Linked DNA regions of Arabidopsis thaliana. The protein of the gene in region 2 interacts with the protein of the main gene of each other region in a pairwise test. Each region holds a gene or a part of one and is shown on either strand. Other genes may lie near its edges.

Region 1 (8,778 bases), on a different chromosome or scaffold from region 2:
CGATAGATCGCAAAGATATCGTTGGCTTCAACTTCAAGCTTTCTTAATTCAGAAGATGGGTAAAGAGCATCCTCTAGCGGAGGAAGATACTTATTTGACCAAGGTGACCTGCAAAAGTAAAGATTACAAGAACCAACAAATAGCAATTTAGCTATGAACACGAAGTACTGTATCATCCCAAACCAAAGCGATCCAATATTTTGAATTTTCTCTCTACACAATGAAATAGAGCAAAAAAGTACCTGTAGGAATCTGCATCTCTATTATACTCACACAAGATGAAATCTTTCCCACTTTCAATATCACGTAACACCTGTCATTACATCACCAAACCAAACATTGGGAGATAAGCACGACTAAGGCAACAAAATCACATTTTCAAATCTCGATAAAGATAGAAAATACCTGAAGAGGGAGATCGACTTGAGAGAGAAGATCGGAAGAATGTTGAGGAATGAGGCTTAGAAGAGCAGATAGAGCCGTCTCCGACTGCTTCGGCGGCATTCTCCGGAGAAGTCCCAAAGCTGCCTCCATTTTTTTCCAACCTCGCCGGAGAAAAAAAACACTTCTCCTCTGAGAAGACGAACTAAAAGGTAACAACCGAATAACCAATCTCTTATTGTCTATTATACCCTTTAGGCCCATCATAAGGCCCAAACATTACGAGGCCTTTTACTAAGCGACGTCGTTATGAACAGAATATTTATTTTTTGCTTTCCTGGGATTATAAATCTTTTTTTCCATCGGACGGTGAATTGTTAGTCATGTCATCGATGACGGAGAAGGAGAAGGAGAGAGATCCACCACCACCACATCAAGAGATTGAAGAGACTACTCCGTTGCTCGAAAATTCTCAACCGGAAAGTGAATTGAGATCGACGACCGCGGCGGCGAAGGTTCCTGAGGTGGAGATTCATCTGTATAAGTGTGGAAAAGGTCCGATCGATGTGTTCAAGTCAAATCTCGGCGGTTATGAGCAGGATCAGCTCGAGGTTCGATCTATTCTTGAGAAATATGGCTTGAAAGCAATCTTCGCTTTCAACGTTGAGAAAGGTCGTGCTGTTCCGATCAGATTTCACCCTAGGAATGGTCGGTCTGTGTTGCCTTATAGGGATGGTGCCGTCATTTACATCGACGGTGAACCTCAGGTAATCTGATTGTTTTGATTTTGAGTTTTCACTTACGCAATAGGAAAAAAGGACAGAGAACGATCTCCTTAGCTTAGTTATAGTTCCCTACTGATGCTTGAATGAATAAACTCACGGTGAATATTGTTGCATTGCATCTGTTGGACCTTCTCTGAACGCATGATTAAGGAATAGGATAGGACCCAATCTGCTTCTTGTCTCCTTTACATGTTCTTCATACCCTTGGATTGTAGAATTACTCTACATTGGCGTTCTGCATTTAGATAAGTTGATGGTTTTCTTTTGATTGTGCTCATAAACCTCATACATGTCTCTAGACTTTCTAGGCTTCTTTACTCTTCAATTGCCCTGGAATATCAATTAACGTGGATTCGGTGTCTCATGGAACCTTAGGTTTAGGTCAAAGCTTGTATTCTTACTTAAAGTAAACAATTTCTTGGAATCACTCCTATGGCTCATAGATTTAGAATACGCATGTAGAAACTAGAATGGATGTCATGGTATTCTGACTTCGTTGGGGCGTAAAAAGTCTTTGGATAATATTGTTGCAAGAACAGAAAAAAAAAGCATTAAAACATGCAGCTTTAATTGGGTGATTCATCTGATAACACTATTAATTTGAACACCTTTTGTTTTCAGGATTCCCTGCTCAAACCCATCACCAGAATCATTCTCGGAGTTGTGATTGTTACGCTCTTAATAACATTTCTATTGAAAGACCCTCCAGCTTGGATCAAGAACAACATCTCCATTGGGACCTTTCCTCCATGGGTGCTCGCATGCATAGTTATAGTTTTCACTCGAGCTAGAAAGAGAACCAGGGACTTCTTCAAGAAGTATGGCTGGTAGTTTCGCAGACCCTAACACTCGTCTCGCTTAAAATGTGGTCGAAATTTGTAGTCTTTCATCGACCATATATATAGAGGTTCTCTTGCCTTAACCCAACAAGTTCCCTTCCTTGGCAAGACTCTTCGTCTTTGATACGCCTTGAGGCGCCAAATTGCTTGCTTTCAGAACTAAGAGAGAGCAATCATTTTCTTCATTTGCATTTTGTTGAAGTTTATAGTTTTATGCATTTCCATGTGTAATGCGATTTGGTTTTTGCCATTTTGATGGAAACTGATACTTATTTTCTAAAACCCAATAGTTTGGCAACAAGCCTGTCCATATTTAATCTCTACATTCCTCCCTGATAATATGAAAATTTAGTCTTGTAACGCATGACATGCTCAGTTTCGTACATATGTCAGATAGTGTTTCAGAAATATCTAAAATGAATGACAACATCACCCATATCGAACTTACTTTTTGGTGGTAGAAAATATTTAGTCGACTAGAGTCTGACATTTTACTCTATTAATCACGAGTACTTAGCAATCTCTGTTCAATAGATTTCAACTGTTGTATTTATTGATGATGGAATTTTTTAAAGATCAAAATTGTCTCATCCACAAAATATTGTCCATGAATTCTATAGATTAGCCTTGTGGCATACCAAAAATCTGTCTCATGTTTTAAACAATTCTATGGAAATATGTTGATATTGATTTAATGTATAAAATTGAGTTTATCGCGGCTGCGTTGACGTTGCTGATAACATCCTGCTTGACACTATCTGGAATTCCTAATTTACTAAGAATTTTGATGATTTTAATAATATTATTGAAAGTGAATAAATGAAAGATTCTAAACTATTGTAGATGTTATTAGTTTAGAATTTGTAAAAAGTAATATAAAATCTTCATAAATCTGAAGTTATTTGATTTATATTTTTATAAAATTATTAAATATTTTGCGTTATTCAATTAAAACAAAATAATCTATGATTGTTAATGAATTAAATTATTCTGTTAATGGTTTATGATTTTTTACATTTTTCTTCACAAAATAAAATCATGAAAGTATCATCAAAATCGAGAGATTGTTTAAATTTTTTTACGAGATTGTGAAAAACAAATCAACAAGATTATAAAAAACTCTCTAGCAATAGTTTATAATCTTTCATTTATTTACTTTCTATGATATTATTAAAGTCATCAAAATTTCGTGTAAATTATGAACCAATAAAGCCTCTTTTAACAAAAAAAACAGACATGACGATAACAACAAAATAATTAAGAAGGAGAAGTAGACGGAAAAAAAAAAAAAAAAAGTAGAGTAATAAGATGTTAAGAAAAAACATAAATATCTATGTGGCACTAGATCTCATCTATAAGACGTTAGTCGTAGTTTTTTGCGAGTATATGAAGAGCAGACTTAACAGATTCATTCGGTTGCGGCTTCCGTTTAGAACGCATGATCCCTTCTACTTCTTCGTCAAAATTGTGTTCAGTTTTCTTTATTTGTTTTAATGATTGTTGTATTTGGATGGTTATATATCATATAAATTTAAATTTTTATAATATAATATAATTGATTATCATTAAAAAAAAAACATGTGGCATTGGATTATTGGCCAGGACAGAAAAAGCCCATTGGCCCACAAAAAGATCCCAGATGTGAATTAAAAAGCTGAGTCAAAACTCAAAAGCCACGTCAAATCAAACTCTGATCCGTAGGGACCGGTTGGTTAGCGAATGTATAAATACCAACTCTCATTCTTTCACACCCTTTCGAGTCTCTCTACTCCTCTTCTTATTCACCGGAGTAACCCAAAAAAAAAAAGGAAAAAATATAAAAATAAATATTCTCCCCTAAAAATTTTGGAAAACCACAAACAGAAATCTCTCTGTCTCACCCTAGAAAAACCTAGAAATCTTATCGCTATGGCTGCGGCGGTTGCATCTGGAATTGCCCCGACGACGGCCATGGTTGATCAAGTGATCCCTAATCAACCCACGGTTGCTGCTGCTGCTCCTCCTCCTTTCCCTGCCGTGAGTCAGGTTGCGGCGGTTGCTGCTGCTGCTGCTGCCGCGGAGGCTTTGCAAACCCATCCAAACTCGTCTCTCTATGTCGGAGATTTAGATCCGAGTGTCAATGAGTCACATCTCTTGGATCTCTTTAATCAAGTTGCTCCAGTTCACAATCTTAGGGTTTGTCGTGATCTGACTCATCGTTCTCTTGGTTACGCTTACGTCAATTTCGCTAACCCTGAAGATGGTAAATATTATAAACAATCATACAGGAATTTAATATTATTATTATGGATTACGACAGGAATATAATATTGTTCATGTGTTTGCTTTTGTGGTTTTGTTCTTTTTGCTGTTTTGTTTTGTTTTGTTTTGCTGTTTTGTAATTAAAGTTTTGTGTTTTTTTATTGGATCAGCGAGTCGTGCGATGGAAAGTCTCAACTATGCTCCGATCAGAGACAGGCCTATAAGGATCATGCTCTCTAATCGTGATCCGAGCACTAGATTGAGTGGGAAAGGCAATGTTTTCATCAAAAACCTTGATGCATCGATTGATAACAAAGCTTTGTATGAAACTTTCTCGTCTTTCGGGACGATTCTCTCTTGCAAGGTTGCAATGGATGTGGTGGGACGTTCGAAAGGATATGGCTTTGTCCAGTTTGAGAAAGAGGAAACCGCTCAGGCTGCTATTGACAAGCTTAATGGTATGTTGCTTAATGATAAGCAAGTCTTTGTTGGCCATTTTGTCCGTCGTCAAGACAGGGCACGTAGTGAGAGTGGTGCGGTGCCGAGCTTCACTAACGTTTATGTTAAGAATCTTCCTAAGGAGATTACTGATGATGAGCTTAAGAAGACTTTTGGGAAATATGGAGATATTTCTAGTGCGGTTGTGATGAAGGATCAGAGTGGGAACTCGAGGTCTTTCGGGTTTGTCAACTTTGTGAGCCCTGAAGCTGCTGCAGTTGCTGTTGAAAAGATGAACGGTATCAGCCTTGGGGAGGATGTGTTGTATGTTGGTAGGGCACAGAAGAAGTCTGATAGGGAAGAGGAATTGAGGAGGAAGTTTGAGCAAGAGAGGATAAGCAGGTTTGAGAAATTGCAAGGATCGAATCTGTATTTGAAGAACCTTGATGATAGTGTGAATGATGAGAAGCTCAAGGAGATGTTCTCTGAGTATGGGAATGTGACTTCCTGCAAGGTTTGTTTCTGATTCTAAACATCTCTAAACTTTATACATAAGTTTATACCACACAATATAATGAATTAAAATGTTTTGTTTGTGGTCATAATTAGGTTATGATGAATTCACAAGGTTTAAGCAGAGGTTTTGGTTTTGTTGCTTACTCCAATCCTGAAGAAGCTTTATTAGCTGTAAGTTTCAACTGAATTGACAATCTTTTTACATATACATAAATGTTTTATAAAATTGGTACTAAAATGTTCATTGGGGTTGATGATTACGCAGATGAAAGAAATGAATGGGAAGATGATAGGAAGGAAACCTCTTTACGTTGCTTTGGCACAACGTAAGGAAGAAAGACAGGCTCACCTTCAGGTTCTTTTTAGCCCTCTCACTCTTTGAACATCAAACTCTGTACTGTGTTGTGTTGTGACACTGAGTTCTTAAACTGTCTTGATGTTTTCACGTGTTTCAGAGTCTATTTACTCAAATCAGATCACCTGGAACAATGTCACCAGTTCCATCACCGATGTCTGGGTTCCATCATCACCCACCAGGTGGGCCAATGTCAGGACCACACCATCCAATGTTCATAGGCCATAACGGTCAAGGTTTGGTACCTTCACAGCCTATGGGGTATGGGTACCAAGTTCAGTTCATGCCTGGGATGCGTCCAGGTGCAGGCCCGCCTAACTTCATGATGCCTTTCCCTCTTCAAAGGCAAACTCAGCCTGGCCCTCGTGTTGGGTTCAGGCGTGGTGCTAATAACATGCAGCAGCAGTTTCAGCAACAACAAGTAAAGTTTTTATCATTAGTTCTTATGTCTTTTAGCAAGTTTATTATCTTTAACACAATCATACGAATATGAATTTGTTGGGGCTTGTTATTATCTTGGAACTGTCAGATGCTGCAGCAAAATGCAAGCAGATTCATGGGAGGCGCAGGCAACAGGAGGAATGGAATGGAAGCATCTGCTCCACAAGGCATCATCCCTTTGCCATTGAATGCATCTGCAAACTCTCACAATGCTCCGCAACGCTCTCACAAGCCAACTCCCCTCACCATTTCTAAGCTCGCATCTGATTTGGCTTTGGCTAGCCCCGACAAACACCCACGGGTTAGTGATCTCCTGTGTTTTCTTCTCTTATCTCATTTAGTACTTGCATTATAACCTATATTTGTTAACAATATCATTGCATTGTGAATTGATGACAGATGCTTGGGGATCATCTTTACCCACTTGTGGAGCAGCAGGAGCCAGCAAATGCTGCTAAAGTTACCGGGATGTTGCTGGAGATGGATCAAGCTGAGATTTTGCACCTTCTTGAGTCACCTGAAGCTCTTAAGGCTAAAGTGTCCGAGGCTCTGGATGTTCTCAGACGCTCTGCTGATCCAGCAGCTGTGTCATCTGTTGATGACCAGTTTGCTCTATCCTCATCCGAGTGAACATACTGTTTACTCAAGACTATGTTTCTCTCGCTTTCTTAGACAGTTGCTTTAATACCTTTTAGGACCTTTAAAACTAGCTTTTTCTTTTCTACATCTCTTTGATAGATTGTTTTGAGTTTTTCCCTTAGCATTGAGACTTTTACTCTTTAGCACTTTCTCTAGTTTCGTTAGGAGTCTATTTAATGTGTCAACTCTTTTGCAACTCCAAATTCGTTTCAGAAACTTTACATTTAGCATTTTATCTAATAATCGGCATTCTGGTTAAACATTCTGATCACATGAAATCTGGATGTACCTCGTCGTCTACTATCTGATATTCCGTATTTATCTCCATTACTGCTCTGTCCCATCCTCCTACTTCGTCATCCTTCAAGGCCTTTTTAACACCAAATCGCGGTGGTGCTTGGTGTTCTCCTTCGTCATCGATTAAGTAGGCGTCCCATTTCGAAGCTGGCTTAGTAACTCTTTCTGACTCTAGATTCCTCTCTTCCATATCCTTCTTCCTCGTCACTACTTCATCTGCAACACATTTGAAGGATAGGAGAATATTGTTTTAGTAAAACCATTCAGGCCTTTAATAAACAACATTCGCAACGGCTTTACTTGAACTAAACGCTGATATATGGCCAACATATGTAGCAGAACTCCTCTTACCGGATCGAAAATCCGGCTTTTTGATGCTGCGTCTGGAGAAAGAAGGCTTGAAGATCTCATTACTGTCTTTATTCTCACCTCCTGTATTTGATGATGATCCACCAGCATTAGACTCTTTGTTCAGCTTTGGCCTTTTGAACATATTGCTTGGCATCTCAGTGACAATCTTCACATCTGCAACAAAATCGCAAAACCAAGTACATATTTATCTATTTTGTCTCATAAGATGCTTGATTCTCGAATTAGACTCACCGTCTTCTTCTCCAGCTAATCTCCGGCGATCATTTACTGAATCGAAATCGAGGTATTGACTCCAATCAGATCGCTTCTTCGTTCCATTAACCTCCTCATTAACCTCTCCTTCAACATAAACCTCTGGAAACGAATCTCCAACAGCATGTGCCTCTTCATCGGCAACTTTGCGAGACATATTAAACGATTGGACAAAGAAACGAAGCTCCTTAGCCTTATAACCTTGAGCAAACACCTTTTTCACTGATTGCTTCTGATTGCATATCACACAAACCCACTTGTTACTACTTTTCTTCTTCTGCTTCACCTGCGAATTCGAACCCCAAAACAAAATCCCTAAAAACTAACCAATATATAAATTGACAGAGATAGAAGAGGAGGGAGCGAGAGAGTTTAATACCTGCATAGTTGAACACTCGTAACATTGGAGAGCGATGAAGAGAGTACTCGCCATTTTTTCTCCTTCTCCTTCTTCGTCTTCGTCGTCTGCTCTCTAGGGATTTCGATTTTGTGTTTTCGATTTCGTTCTAGCGCCAATTTGATATACTTCAAAAAATTTGGCAATTCCAAATTATTTTGTACCGGGTCTGTTTAACAGAAGACGGTAAATAGTTTCGGTTAGTTTCGGTTAAGCTCCCGCGTTTTTTTACAATAGCAATTAGAATCAAACCCTAAAAACCCAAATCAAAAAGCTTCGTTGTGGAGGTAAGTAGGAGGAAGACGATGGCGTTAGAGAAGCACATAGAGAAGGTACTCTTCAGCGATGAAGTAATTGCGCACCGGGTGAATCAGCTTGGAATCGATATTACTTCTGATTTCTCCGGTGACTCGGAGGAAACTCCTATTTTTGTCGGCGTAGCCACTGGTGCTTGCCTCTTCTTGGCCGATCTCGTTAGGCGAATTGACTTGCCAATAGCTATAGATTTCATTAGAGCTGAGTCTTACGGCTCTGGTACTGTATCCAGTGGAGTTCCCAGAGTATCATTTGACTTAAAGCTTGACATCACGAACAAGCACGTTGTCTTGGTAATCTCCATCTCTTTATGCGTGATGGATCTGGATTTGGGTAATATGTGTTTTGCATCAGTTTTGATTCAGTTTCTTTAGCAATTGAGTTTTAGTATTCATTTGAATTTCATGAAGTTTGAGTCTTTACAGCTTAAAATTGATATGTTGGTTTCTGAGTTTTAACGTTTGAAGAACACTTGTGATATGCAAAAATGTGATGAATATATTAGAAAGG
Region 2 (6,244 bases):
GTTGTCGCAGAAAAGAACCAAAGTGGTTTGATTCTTTATGTCAACGACGAAACAAAGCGGTGTGGGTCGACTGATGCTTCTACGTTTCTTTAGTCTTAACTGTTTTGGATGTTATGTTGTTGGGATTTTGATAGATCTCTGCCATTGATACTTCTATAGTTGTAAATTTGTAATAGAATGAGCAGACGCATGATTTTGACGCAATATTGGTAATGAAATATACTTTTCTTTCTGTGCATGATTTCGTGATTAGTTTATTCCATGATAATAAAAGTGTACGAAATCCTTCTTATTGACAAAAGAACCATTACCTAACATATTATTCTCCCAGATTAAAACCATGACCTAACATCAATAATGGAAACCAACCCATGTGGATAGAAGACCATACATTTCGTGAAAATCCCAAGAGAACGAAATTATTTCTTTCAATGACGTTCAATATCAAACCTAATACTTGTCTATTGAAAGAATCAATAATAGATGGACGAAAACTGGATCATTGAGATGTGACCATACGAATTATGAACACAAAGATTTTAAGATCCAAGCAATAAACTATGGCATAGAATAGTGTCTCCCAACCAATTTACATTCCCATAATCAAATACAAACTAAGGCAGAACGTCGATAGACAATAGTTAAAATGTTATGAACCGAAGAACATTACACATAAAACGAAAGAGAATCATCGAGAGATTCATTTTTAATGCCCCACAAATCAATTAAGGTTTTTGTTTAACCAAAACCCTCTTACAAATAAATCCCGAAGCTTTATGCAGAGAGAGAGAGACTCCAATCAGAAGCAAGCATCCAAGAGACAGCAACAACACAGAGCAGCAAGACTGCAAAAGCAAAAACAGTGTTTACATTTCACAATCAGTATTAAAAACAAATCCAGTTGCTTTAAGACATGCAATGTAGTAAGCAGTAGCTAGATCATGCAAACAATCAAATCCTAAAAGATGCACATTCATCAAAAACAACATCCGATTCACACTGTTAAGTAAAGCCATCAAAGAACAACAATTATCCTGTATTCAGTGAAGGAACAGAGAACACAAAAAGGATCCATCTTGCTAAGCCAATTTACTTATCAAAACTTGTACAAGTATAGTTTCAAGTACTCATAAACAGTTAAACACTACCAAACCAATAACGACAAGAACACAATCACAATTCTAGTTTCTTTAAAGCATGCAATGTTGTAGTAACCAGTAGCTAGATCATGCAAACATGTTAAATCCTAAAAGATGCAAATTCATTAAACACAACAACAATTGTCCTGTGATCAGTGAATGAACAGAGATCACAAAAAGTCAACCTCTACAGAGGAATATTCTAGCTAAAACCACATGACCTTTTGTTCAAAGAATCTCTAGAAGAAATATTTAAAATAAGGAATATAGTCAAATTCAAACTATACACAAAATCTAATTAGTAAAAACAGATTAAATATAATGGAGTGTGTTTATTGACTAACCATCCTTCTAGAAAGCCAGGACTGCTCTGTTGTTGCTGATGCTGCGGTGGTGGAGGATATTGAGGCGCGTACGGTGGAGGATATCCTTGCTGAGGATAACCTTGTTGAGGATATCCCTGAGGTGGATAGCCTTGCTGAGGATATCCCTGAGGAGGATATCCTTGTGGTGGATAAGCATCTTTTGGATATCCCTCCGGTGGATAACCTATTGATACAATTTCAGCACAAACAAAATTCAGATCCGTCGTACAAAAACAATAATCAGTACCAAATTAAGCAGATCTAAGAAAAAATTACAAATCTAAAAACCGAAACTTCTAAAAGTAATCGAAAATAGAAGGAAAGAGGACCTTGAGGAGGAGGAACACCAACGGGAGGTTGATTGTACTGGCTCATTGTTTCCTTTGAAGAAAAAGTGTAAACTTCGTAGAGAAGAAGGAGATCACGAACCTTAGATCGAAAAAGTTTATAGAAGCGATAGAGAAGGACAAGGAAAAGAGGAGAGTGTTTTAAGTATAACGCGTTTTGCAGTTATTTGATTTTTCTTGTTTTTATCCATAACTTTAGGCTAGCGTTCAATACGATGAATTAAAATGAAACTACCAATAAAAAAGGTTAAATTAAAACAAGATTCACGCGGTTTCTGCCTTTTGCAGCGATATTATTTCTGTTTTTTTTTTGTTTAATAGAACTTAATTAATTGGAGAACAAAGATTATTGATTGGTTGTTTATTCTGTTGTTTTTTCTAATGTTCTGTATGAAATCTAGTGATGCTTAATTTCTTTTTGTATCTTACTTCAAATTTCCTTAGAATATAGAAATTCATTTTGTTTTATCGAGTCGATTGACTTAAGACACATTACAACATATGATAAATAGATGTACACAATAGATAAAGTAAAAGTGTCTACATTCTAAACCCCACTTACCTACTTCCAATGTATACTAAAAAAGAGGAGATATTCATGTACATATATACATTTTAAGGTTTCCAATCTCTTGAAAAGGCTTGCTGAATCACATTGTGAAAGTAGCAATGGCCTGGACTTCACTACAACATTTTCCTTCCCGCCAATTACACATCGTTCTCTTTGAGCTACTTCATCTACTAGTTTTGCCACTGCTATTCTAAAACTGACCGTAAGTGGTTGATGCAAAGAAGAAAATATGATCAGTCATTCCGTTTTGCAACATAACAATGAAGCAGAAAATTATGTATGTTCATTTCGATAATCCTAGTTGTTCGACACCTTAATGATCTTGGTGTCCTTGTATAGATTACCTTAGAATTTGGTTCTTCATTGTCATTGGTTAGCTTTTCAAACTTGATGTCCTATAAAAATGCACATCTCAGACATTACGTAAATCCTAGAATCTACTTTTGGTACTTACACGATACAATACCGAAAACGTAAGTACCAAAAGTAGATTCTAGGATTAGGCCCAAAATGATGATGTAAAACAAAATCATGAGTGGGTTAGGCCCATACGGTCATAAATGGGCTTATATTGGATTAGTTTCCTCCTACCTTATCCTCTTTCCGACCAAATTTAAGATATTTTATAGAAAGAATAATAATTTAACTTTTTAGTGTGAGTAGCCAACAGGATTGGAACGAAAAAGAAAGTCAATAAAAGCCAACAGTAACGCGTCTACACGTGGACGGTTGATTACTCAGAACCATGTTAGCTATGGGTCCAGACCTACCCACTTGTGTCTCACCTTTAATCCTGCCTCGACGTTACGAACCCCAGCTTCGTCACCGAACCTTACTTTATATATTAGTCCTTCTTCTTCTCATCTTCTCGCAACGTAGGTTCTGGTGAATGATCCTAATCCGTTTAGCTTTTAAAAAAATAAGAAGACATATTTATCAACTTGATCAACTTGAGCAAGTTGCAGCAGATATTTTCCTCGGCCAAGGTAAAGATCTGATGTTGTCTTCTTCTCTACTCGATCAATTTCTATATTTGAAGTTCGTGGATTTTGAAGGATTTGATTGGTTTCCATGGTATTAGATCTCTGTGATGGTTGTTGATCTATCTTAAAACTTGATTTATCTTCAGTTCTCTCGATTTCAAACTTGTACTTGTCCTACTTCAAGTGATCTAATCGGAAACTTATTGTTGCTATGTTTACTGATCGTACAGATCTATTGATCTAAGGATTAAGCTATGTTGTGATTGAGTTGTTAGATTTGAATTTGAATTTGAACTGAGCTTGTTTGTTTGTGTGTGCAGATCTAGAGTTTTGAGAATGGCGATGGTATCAGGAAGACGATCTACTCTAAACCCCGACGCACCTCTTTTTATTCCGGCAGCTGTACGACAAGTGGAAGATTTCTCACCGGAGTGGTGGCAATTGGTGACAACTTCGACTTGGTACCCTGATTACTGGATCAGTCAGCAGCAGCAAGGCGCGGATGGTTTCTATGACAACGGAGAGAATGAGAATGGTGGAGGTCATATCGATGTAGCTGATCTTCTTCCAGAATCATTTGATTTTGATGATATGGAAGATTTCTTTGACACTGATGCTGCTGAGTTTGATCAAGGATTCGATGGAAGAATGTATTACCAAGCACCTTCCGAATTTGGTAAGTCGGTTTCATTCCCCTGATACATAGAACCATCCAAGATCAGTAGATTTGTGGAGGCTAATTGTTGTTTATATATATCATCAGGCTTTGGAAAGAATGGTGAGATGGTTAAGAAATCAAGTGGAAACAGGAGCCCGAGATCGATTGTGGAACCAGCTAAGTATGCGGAAAAGCCAGCGAAATGGGGAAACCAGAGGGTTGCTGCTGCTCCGAGAAACATCCACCAGCCTCGCTGAAGAGATATGTTGTTAACTAGTCAGAGAAGTCAGAGCAGTTCGGTCTGTGTATCTTTAGCCACCACTGTACCTTTGTAATTTTTAGTATTTGCTTCCACAACAAAAATCTGTAACTTTGTATCTTTATGATGTTCATTCTCAAACTTGCTATCACAAAAATGTAAAAACATAAAAAAAAAAAAATGTAAACTTTGAAGAGAAATGAGAACTAGAGTTTATTTCCTACCTTTGTCTGAGCAATTCTATTCAATTACCAAAAGTCTTATCCTGCATCGGTGATGGCTACCGGAAGCAGTTGCATCAATGTTGCTTTGGCTTTACGACCAAAAGAAAGCCATCGCAGAGCTCAAATATAGAAGGTTTTCACGTCTCAGCTACTGAAAATGATCAGTTCTCTAAAGACTAGAACTCTACAAGGTTGGTGGCTAAGAAAAGGATGTCGATTACATCATAATGCTAATACACGCAAAAGGTCAGGAGTGTCGAACATGTTTTAACTTGCAAACATTGCCGACGACACCAAGTTCATTTCGAGCTCGGAATTGAGATACCGAAGACATGTCCAAATTTAAACCGGACTTAGTAAATTCCCCATCAAAAATGGGGAAAATGAGACTTTTCTTTCGTTTGATGCGAAAACTCTCGTCTTGACTCTTGAAGCTTTGTTTTTTTGACTCCACAAGTCGTCGATTTGACATTCGAACAAATGATTAGTCAGACGATCAGAAACGCTCCAAAACGCAGCGCTTTGGCTAGAACAGAGCTTTAAGACACCTATGTTAATACGAAAATACCCTCTGATAAACTTATTTATACACTCGACGTTTCGTTTTTTTTTCCAGTTTTCTGAAAAGTAAATTATTTGAAATCCCGCTCTGAATTATTACAATGGCGCCAAAGAGAGCATCGCCGATGCAGTCTTCTCTGTACTCTATCGGTAAGAACTCGGAAAGCCCTTGATTTTATTCAGAAAACTCCGATCAATCAAATGAATCTTCGTGTGTTTTGATTCGATTTCTCCAGGTGATTACGAGGTTGCAGTGGATGGTAAGAATTTCACCTGTGAATCCGGACCCAAAAGCATTCAAATCAAATTTCCCAGAAACTACACAGTCAAAATCTCAGGTTCGTCTAGAATTTGGGTTCTTGCGGTTCTGTTTTTTTTCCACTCTAATTTGGTTGTTAGTCATTTTGGGCTCTATGATTTGATTATCTAATTCAATTTCATCTATTGATGTTATGCGGCTACTAGCAAAATGTGTAACAAACTCAATGTCCATAATTTTTCTTTTTGTGGTCAAACAACTCAATTTCCCTAAATTACTTTAGGAAATTTTCCATAATATTGGACCAAAAAAACTCCGTCTGTACTTTTTTTTTTTTTTTGGCAAAAAACTCCGTCTATACATGTAACAACAATCCTCGCAATTTCCAAAGTGGAAAAAAAGAAAAATTGGGTTTCGGTCGATCCGATTCGATGGGGAGAGAGGGCGATCAGATGAAGAGGAAGCGAAGAGATCTAACGAACAAGACGAGAGGGCCCTGCAATTTCTGCGAATTCTCCAGCAGCAGGTACTTGGCTCACAGATGGCAAACAAGGGTTCGATTTTCTAGGGTTTTCATTGTTGATTTAGGTCTTTGAAGTAATTTAGGATATGGGAACCATCACAAAATCTGCTTATTAGGTTTATTGATTAGCTATTTACTCGGCTTAGTTGGATCTCGGAATCTGAATCTGAATCTGAGGATATGATTGAATCAGACAATAAACTTAAACCTAAACCCCTTGGCCTTTTTCCAGATATGGATGCAGCTCTGAAGATAAGCTGCAGGAGCAAGACAATGAAGCAGTGGTATGTAATTACTTATGTACTCATATATCTATCTCTTTGTATGTTATACCTGTGTTTTTGCTTACATTCAA
Region 3 (5,787 bases), on a different chromosome or scaffold from region 2:
AGACATGTAAACATGAACTGCAACAAAAGAAAAGAATCTGCCAAGAAGACCAACCAGACCAACTACTGCAGATATTAGAAATTTGACCCAATCCATTGGAGTCAGTCCAGGGTTTCTTTTCTCAGGCTGCACAAGACATTAATGTTATTGCAGCTAGTTTGCAATTTTCGCTACAAAATCCAGCGATGCAAAAGGAAAGAAGACAAGAACAGAAACTTACAAGCACAATCTCCATGTCAGCCATAGGAATGTTTTTGAAATGCTTAACGTAGATTCCTCGTTCTAGATTTGTTTTAGAGCTAGCTCGTCTGCAACATCATAAACCACAAGCTTGAACCACAAGTTCACAAAGTTACAAACAAATAGCTGAAACAAGACATACATATACCTTACCTATAAACAACAATCATTCTATCGAATGTAGGCTCCTGTATTGTGAGCTTGCTCAAAAAACTCTTAAAGCTGAATCCATCAACACAAATGCCATTATCATCATATATATGTACAGAATGGCAAAAGTTTGGGTTGAAAGCAAATCATAACATGCGAGGGATACTGATGATAACCTCAGCTTTGAATTCTCAAGGCGAATACGCTCCACATACAATTCATCATTATCTGTGTCAGGGTTTGGCTCATCATCTTTTTTGGGATCTTTCTTGTTAAGACTGCTTGACCTTTTGGCGCGTAATTTCTCTAACCTGTGATCTAAATGTGTTAAGACCCAACATGTAATCAAATGCCTAACTTTTTTTACTTGTATTGAACTTTAAGAAAGACTAGACTGGGAAACGTGTTCTAACCTGGTGATTCTCATGAGAAAGGACCAAAAACGTGAAATGATCACATCCAATTTCTCCATGAAAAAATAATCTGTGGTTTTATCCAATCCAATACCACGTCTGAAGATGACATACTATATAAGAAAAAGGGTAAATACTATATCAACACATGTCGCTACATGACCATCAAGAAAGTCTTTAGGAAACTATAATCTTGAAATGCTCATCTACAGACAAACTAAAAACTGTACCTTATCAGAAAAATCTGGAATATTTTCATGTGGATGCTCCTCAAAATACCTCTTGAGCAGCTTCTTGTCAAGCTTCATCCACCAAAAGCAAGAAAACTATTTTATAAGAATCCCGGCAACACACAAGCATTAGTGAAAGTTTGTTTAAACAAACCTTAGACTCATCAACTTTGATGGGAAGATTGAGAAGATACTGCCCAGAGTGTGCAACTTCCATCTCTTCATTACTTGTTATTTTAAAGTTGCTCTTCTCCATAACCTTTATAAGCGGGGGGAAAAAGAGGCACATTTCAAGAACAATGACATAGATAAATATAAGGGAGGAGATAATATCCTAATCAAAGAGAGTAACCTGAAACAAGTAAGCTAGGAAATTTTGTTCAAGGACATCAATCTCTTGAGAAGTTAAGTTCTGCTGCTGGATTTTCTGAGCACCGTGTACAGGATCAAACAGAGAGTATAGTTGCTGGAAATTCAAAAGCGCATGATAAATGAGAAAGCAAAGCAAAACAAGTTTGTAAAAGAGAGATTTTAAAAAGGAAAGAGGTTAGAGACCATGAGATCTTCAAATTGAAGAAGATACCAAGCTCGAACAGTGTACTCAATTCTCTTACATAGCTTAAGGAACTCTTGTCTATCATTGCTATGTTCTGCAAAAACACAATTTATCCGACCAAATTTGTAACCAAACAGAGAAAGGGCCAACGATTGTGAAAAAAGCAAAATTTGGGATTTGGGTTCAAAACCCGAGAACAGGGAAGAAGAAATTGGAGAAACTGACCAATGAGATTAGCCAAGGTCATGATGAGTTTAGGTTTGAGGATAGGGATGACCGATTCGGGCTCAAGACGAATCACTTCCTTATTGTGTTGTTCCGCCATTTCAAAAGGATCGAATTTTTGGGAAATCAGAAACAAAGGAGGAAGAAGAAAGAAGAAGAAGAAGAAGAAGAAGCGTAACGGACCCTGAGGAGGAACAAAACTGAAGCGTTCCAATGAGTTAATGTCGTTGAACTCGACCAACGAATCATCAGCCCAATGCTTTTTTCTATTTCTTGCTTCTTCTCCTTTTTTTTATTATAAATAATAATAATAATCAAATAATGTGATTTTTATTCTTTATGTTATGTCTTAAGTCTAATCTTCTGGTTGATCCTCCAATCATTGTATAACATAAGCTTCCTATATCATAATACATCAGCCTCTGTTTCTCTTAAAAAAAAATCATGTAGAGAGTACTTAAACAAATTCCTTGCCGACATTCAAAAGAAGAATAATTTCAGACCAATACCAATGTTGTGACTTGTAGTAATGTTAAAAGACCAACAAGGTAGGTAGGTCCTCTCACTTATTCAATCTCCCACAATATTATTATCTCTCTCATATAGCCAAAACCCAAACAGTGCTTCTGTCTCTCGTGTGTTTCCTATTTCGTTTATATGGGCTATATAAATTAGGCCCATGACATTATATGGGCTTTCACATCCAACTAAATGGATTATGGATTCATAGCGCGTGTGTTCACTGTCTCCTTTTAAACGCGTGGTTAGATCAAAGTCTCTCAGATTTCTTACCTTCTCTTTTAAAAATGCAAAAGATTTCTTACCTTTTCTTTTTTTGTGCAAAAGATTTCTTACCTTACAAAATTAAAATAGATACAGAGAATGTTGACTTGGTGAGGATGGAGGACACGTGTCAGTTTTTGATTGAGTAAGCTATTACTCTCCTAGATTTCTTTCTATTCCAATGTATAAATTTGTAACAAACATTGGATTTTGTCAAAAGTACCACATTTTCGATTTTTGTATATTGTAAATTGTGAAATTTTCAATATTTTTATTTTAAAAATCTAATTTTAAAATTCATGCACATTAGTTTGTCCCAAAAAAATAAAAAATAAAAGCTCATGCATTATAAGCCAATCACACTACCTTGTAATGTTAATTCTAAGAGTTAGATAATTTTGTTATTTGTAGATATACAAAACAAATGATTAAAAATACATTTAGTAAATTTTGCATTGTTCAACATACGTGCTAACATATAGCCATTGTTTTTCGACAAATCTAAAACCAAAATTTTATACTATTTACATAGAAAAAAAAAATAGGCATACGGTGTTATATCATTTTTGTTTTAGCTATATTATAGCGCGTGGTTCACACACATGATCTAAAGAGCGTGTTGAATCCCCAATTATTAAAAAGAAAGAATATTGGCATTTACCTAGATATTTTGTTTTGGTTTTGTTATATATAGCACATGAAATCTTATTCATCAAAACACTAAATTTTGTTTCTTCTCTCAAATATATCGTCGTCTTCATTGCTTAAGTCATGAATCGTTTATGCTTTTTTAACAAAGTTGTAAAAGTTGCCCGTGGTGATTCACCTCCTTTTGATCTTGCTTCTTTACCTCCCAAAGAACAACGAGATGTAAAATTGATTTTGCTTACTTTAAGATTGCAGCTACTTACAAATATAGTTTATGTTATCTTTATATGACCTAAATTTCTCTTTTTTTGTAGTTGATTGGTGAAACTTTGTTCTTTATGGTGGAAGAACTTGAGCCACAGTTTGCACCAAAAATCACAGGAATGATTCTTGAATTGGACCAAGACAAGGTCCTTCATCTGCTGGTAACACCTAAAGCCTTCAAAGAAATGGTCAAAGAGGCAATGGAGGTCCTAGCGCACTCCTTTCTGCAACAGATGAAAATTGCTAGGGGAAAAAGATGTTAGCAAGTTCCTACCTTCCATGCTCCCCGCTAAACTTTGAAATGTTTGTTTGGTTTTTGTTCATTAATATGAGCAACAAAATGTGGCTTTAAGTTGAGTTTTAAATCTTTGTTTTCATTTAAAAAAAAAAAAATCATATGTTAGTGTATCCAAATGTTTTAAGACAATAATAAAAATAAAATAAGTTCTGCTTCGTCCAAATAATTACTAGAGTGGTTATAACTGATGTTTTAGTTAAGTTGAATTTTTAATTTGTAAACAATGTATCCCTTAGTAATATCTAAACTTCTTTCTTTCATATTTAATCTTACTTATATTAAAATATATATATATATATTTATATTCTATTAAATAAGAAAAAAATATATATACATATATATAATAGTAATAATTTATGTTGATTTCAACTATATCGATAATGTAAAGCATGACTAAACACTAAATAAATGATATTTTTAGTAGCCCGTAAGATATTTTTATTATCATGTATTCAAAAAGTTTTAATCCAAACATATTTATTTAAATATTTAGATTTATTTTACTTTGTATGATGTAAGTAGATAATGTTTAGTTTTTATTTTACTTTGTATGATGTAAGTAGATAATATTTAGTTTTTACCAACCAATCTTTTTAGTTGCTAGTTTTTTACCAACCATATATACCCTCTATCCTTTTTGTATTTATATCTTTTAGGATAAAAGGCTAATAATAGTTTGATTTACTTTGTTAACATATCTATCATATACATCAAGTGTTGCTTCAAAACATAAAACCAAGACATGGAATTTTATAATTTATACTAGTATTCTCGTTGTATCATAACTTATATTTAAATTTGTGTTTGTTGTAAACAATCGAAAAGCATATAGAATTCGTATATATTTTATAATAATAAAGAAAAGGAAAAAACAAAATCGAGACAAATGAATAATAATCATGAAAAAATGTTTTTCATATGTTCTTATATATTTTCAATTTGATAAATACCGAATAAATGTTTCAAAGTAATTTGACTTTTTAAGTCAAATAAAATCTCTAAATTATAACAGTGAATCACAATAGACCAAATCAATCATAGCAAATAGATATGATTTATGAAAAAATGAGAACCTAAGTTTTAATGTTATACGATATAATTAGATAATTTAAAATATATGCATAATATACATATACTATTATTTTTATTTAATGTGTTGAAGGATACAAAATTATTAAAACCATAGCGATTACGTAATTTATTCACTATTCATCAGTTTCTTAATCCAAAAGAAAAAAAAGAAGAAGATAAAGAGGTATTTATATATCAGATGTTCAAAAACCCTAAATCGCGTTTCTTCTCTCAAATCTGCCGCCGCCATCATTGATCCAGGTATTGCTCTAACCTTGACTCTTCACGTCATTCGCATATTACTCTCCTCCTCGCTGATCCATTCGAATTCTGCACTCAAATCGTGTTTTTGTACATCATAGTTTCAAGCATTATGATTCTCTCTAGCCAATGACTTTTCTTGCGATTGAATCCTTTTGCAGTCTCGTTATCAAAAGTTGAAGAATTTAGTTTAGTTTGGTTGTGTAGATAAGATTTGTAATCGCAAAATTCGATCTTTGTTACAGTTATGGATTCGAGTTACTCTGATTCTCGTCCCATGTTCGTGCAATCACCTTATGGTGGTTGGAATCAAACACAGATGATTGATTCAATGGCTAATCCAATGAACAATGAACAAGGAGACTTGCATTCACTATCTGAATCACAATCACAATCTCAACCGTCTCAGCAATTACAGCCTGCATTGAAAAGGCCTAGACTTGTTGATGATAACTTGTTTAATCCTGCTTCGTCGTTTCCTCAGCCTTCGAGTAGCAATCCTTGGATGGTTCCATCTTTGAACCCTCCTCCTGTGAACAAAGGGACTGCTAATATATTCTATAAGACTAGAATGTGTGCTAAATTCAGGGCAGGGACTTGTAGGAATGGTGAACTCTGTAATTTTGCTCATGGGATTGAGGATTTGAG

Evidence for each region.
Region 1: the proteins of ERD15 (region 2) and PAB5 interact in a two-hybrid assay, tested with the Arabidopsis thaliana proteins (one study listed by BioGRID).
Region 3: the proteins of ERD15 (region 2) and MPC interact in a two-hybrid assay, tested with the Arabidopsis thaliana proteins (one study listed by BioGRID).

The regions. Positions count from the first base shown.
Region 1 is NC_003070.9:26,988,625-26,997,402, reverse strand, and holds PAB5 (poly(A)-binding protein 5), read left to right. Parts: upstream 1-3,143; 5' UTR 3,144-3,300; intron 3,301-3,795; 5' UTR 3,796-3,913; coding exon 3,914-4,247; intron 4,248-4,416; coding exon 4,417-5,198; intron 5,199-5,293; coding exon 5,294-5,371; intron 5,372-5,465; coding exon 5,466-5,555; intron 5,556-5,655; coding exon 5,656-5,976; intron 5,977-6,084; coding exon 6,085-6,297; intron 6,298-6,395; coding exon 6,396-6,626; 3' UTR 6,627-6,878; downstream 6,879-8,778. Other genes in the region: CPB (Subunits of heterodimeric actin filament capping protein Capz superfamily), read right to left, coding at 1-108, 243-313, 406-534; AT1G71780 (WD repeat protein), read left to right, coding at 765-1,148, 1,788-1,997; AT1G71760 (uncharacterized protein), read right to left, coding at 6,904-7,148, 7,233-7,457, 7,536-7,842, 7,936-7,989; HGPT (Hypoxanthine-guanine phosphoribosyltransferase), read left to right, coding at 8,259-8,561. UniProt on the Arabidopsis thaliana protein: Binds the poly(A) tail of mRNA. Appears to be an important mediator of the multiple roles of the poly(A) tail in mRNA biogenesis, stability and translation.
Region 2 is NC_003071.7:17,265,995-17,272,238, forward strand, and holds ERD15 (dehydration-induced protein (ERD15)), read left to right. Parts: upstream 1-3,163; 5' UTR 3,164-3,408; exon of another isoform or gene 3,409-3,725; 5' UTR 3,726-3,741; coding exon 3,742-4,081; coding exon of another isoform or gene 4,082-4,104; exon of another isoform or gene 4,105-4,168; coding exon 4,169-4,320; 3' UTR 4,321-4,548; downstream 4,549-6,244. Other genes in the region: WIH2 (proline-rich family protein), read right to left, coding at 800-845, 1,484-1,688, 1,834-1,879; AT2G41440 (agamous-like MADS-box protein), read left to right, coding at 5,798-5,892, 6,122-6,173. UniProt on the Arabidopsis thaliana protein: Central component of stress responses that interacts with poly(A)-binding proteins. Negative regulator of abscisic acid (ABA) responses, including resistance to drought and freezing as well as stomatal closure regulation.
Region 3 is NC_003074.8:6,702,158-6,707,944, forward strand, and holds MPC (maternally expressed pab C-terminal), read left to right. Parts: upstream 1-3,316; 5' UTR 3,317-3,368; coding exon 3,369-3,467; intron 3,468-3,559; coding exon 3,560-3,772; 3' UTR 3,773-3,970; downstream 3,971-5,787. Other genes in the region: AT3G19340 (aminopeptidase (DUF3754)), read right to left, coding at 55-126, 221-308, 394-462, 567-701, 804-916, 1,034-1,105, 1,188-1,292, 1,386-1,499 and 2 more; AT3G19360 (Zinc finger (CCCH-type) family protein), read left to right, coding at 5,387-5,787.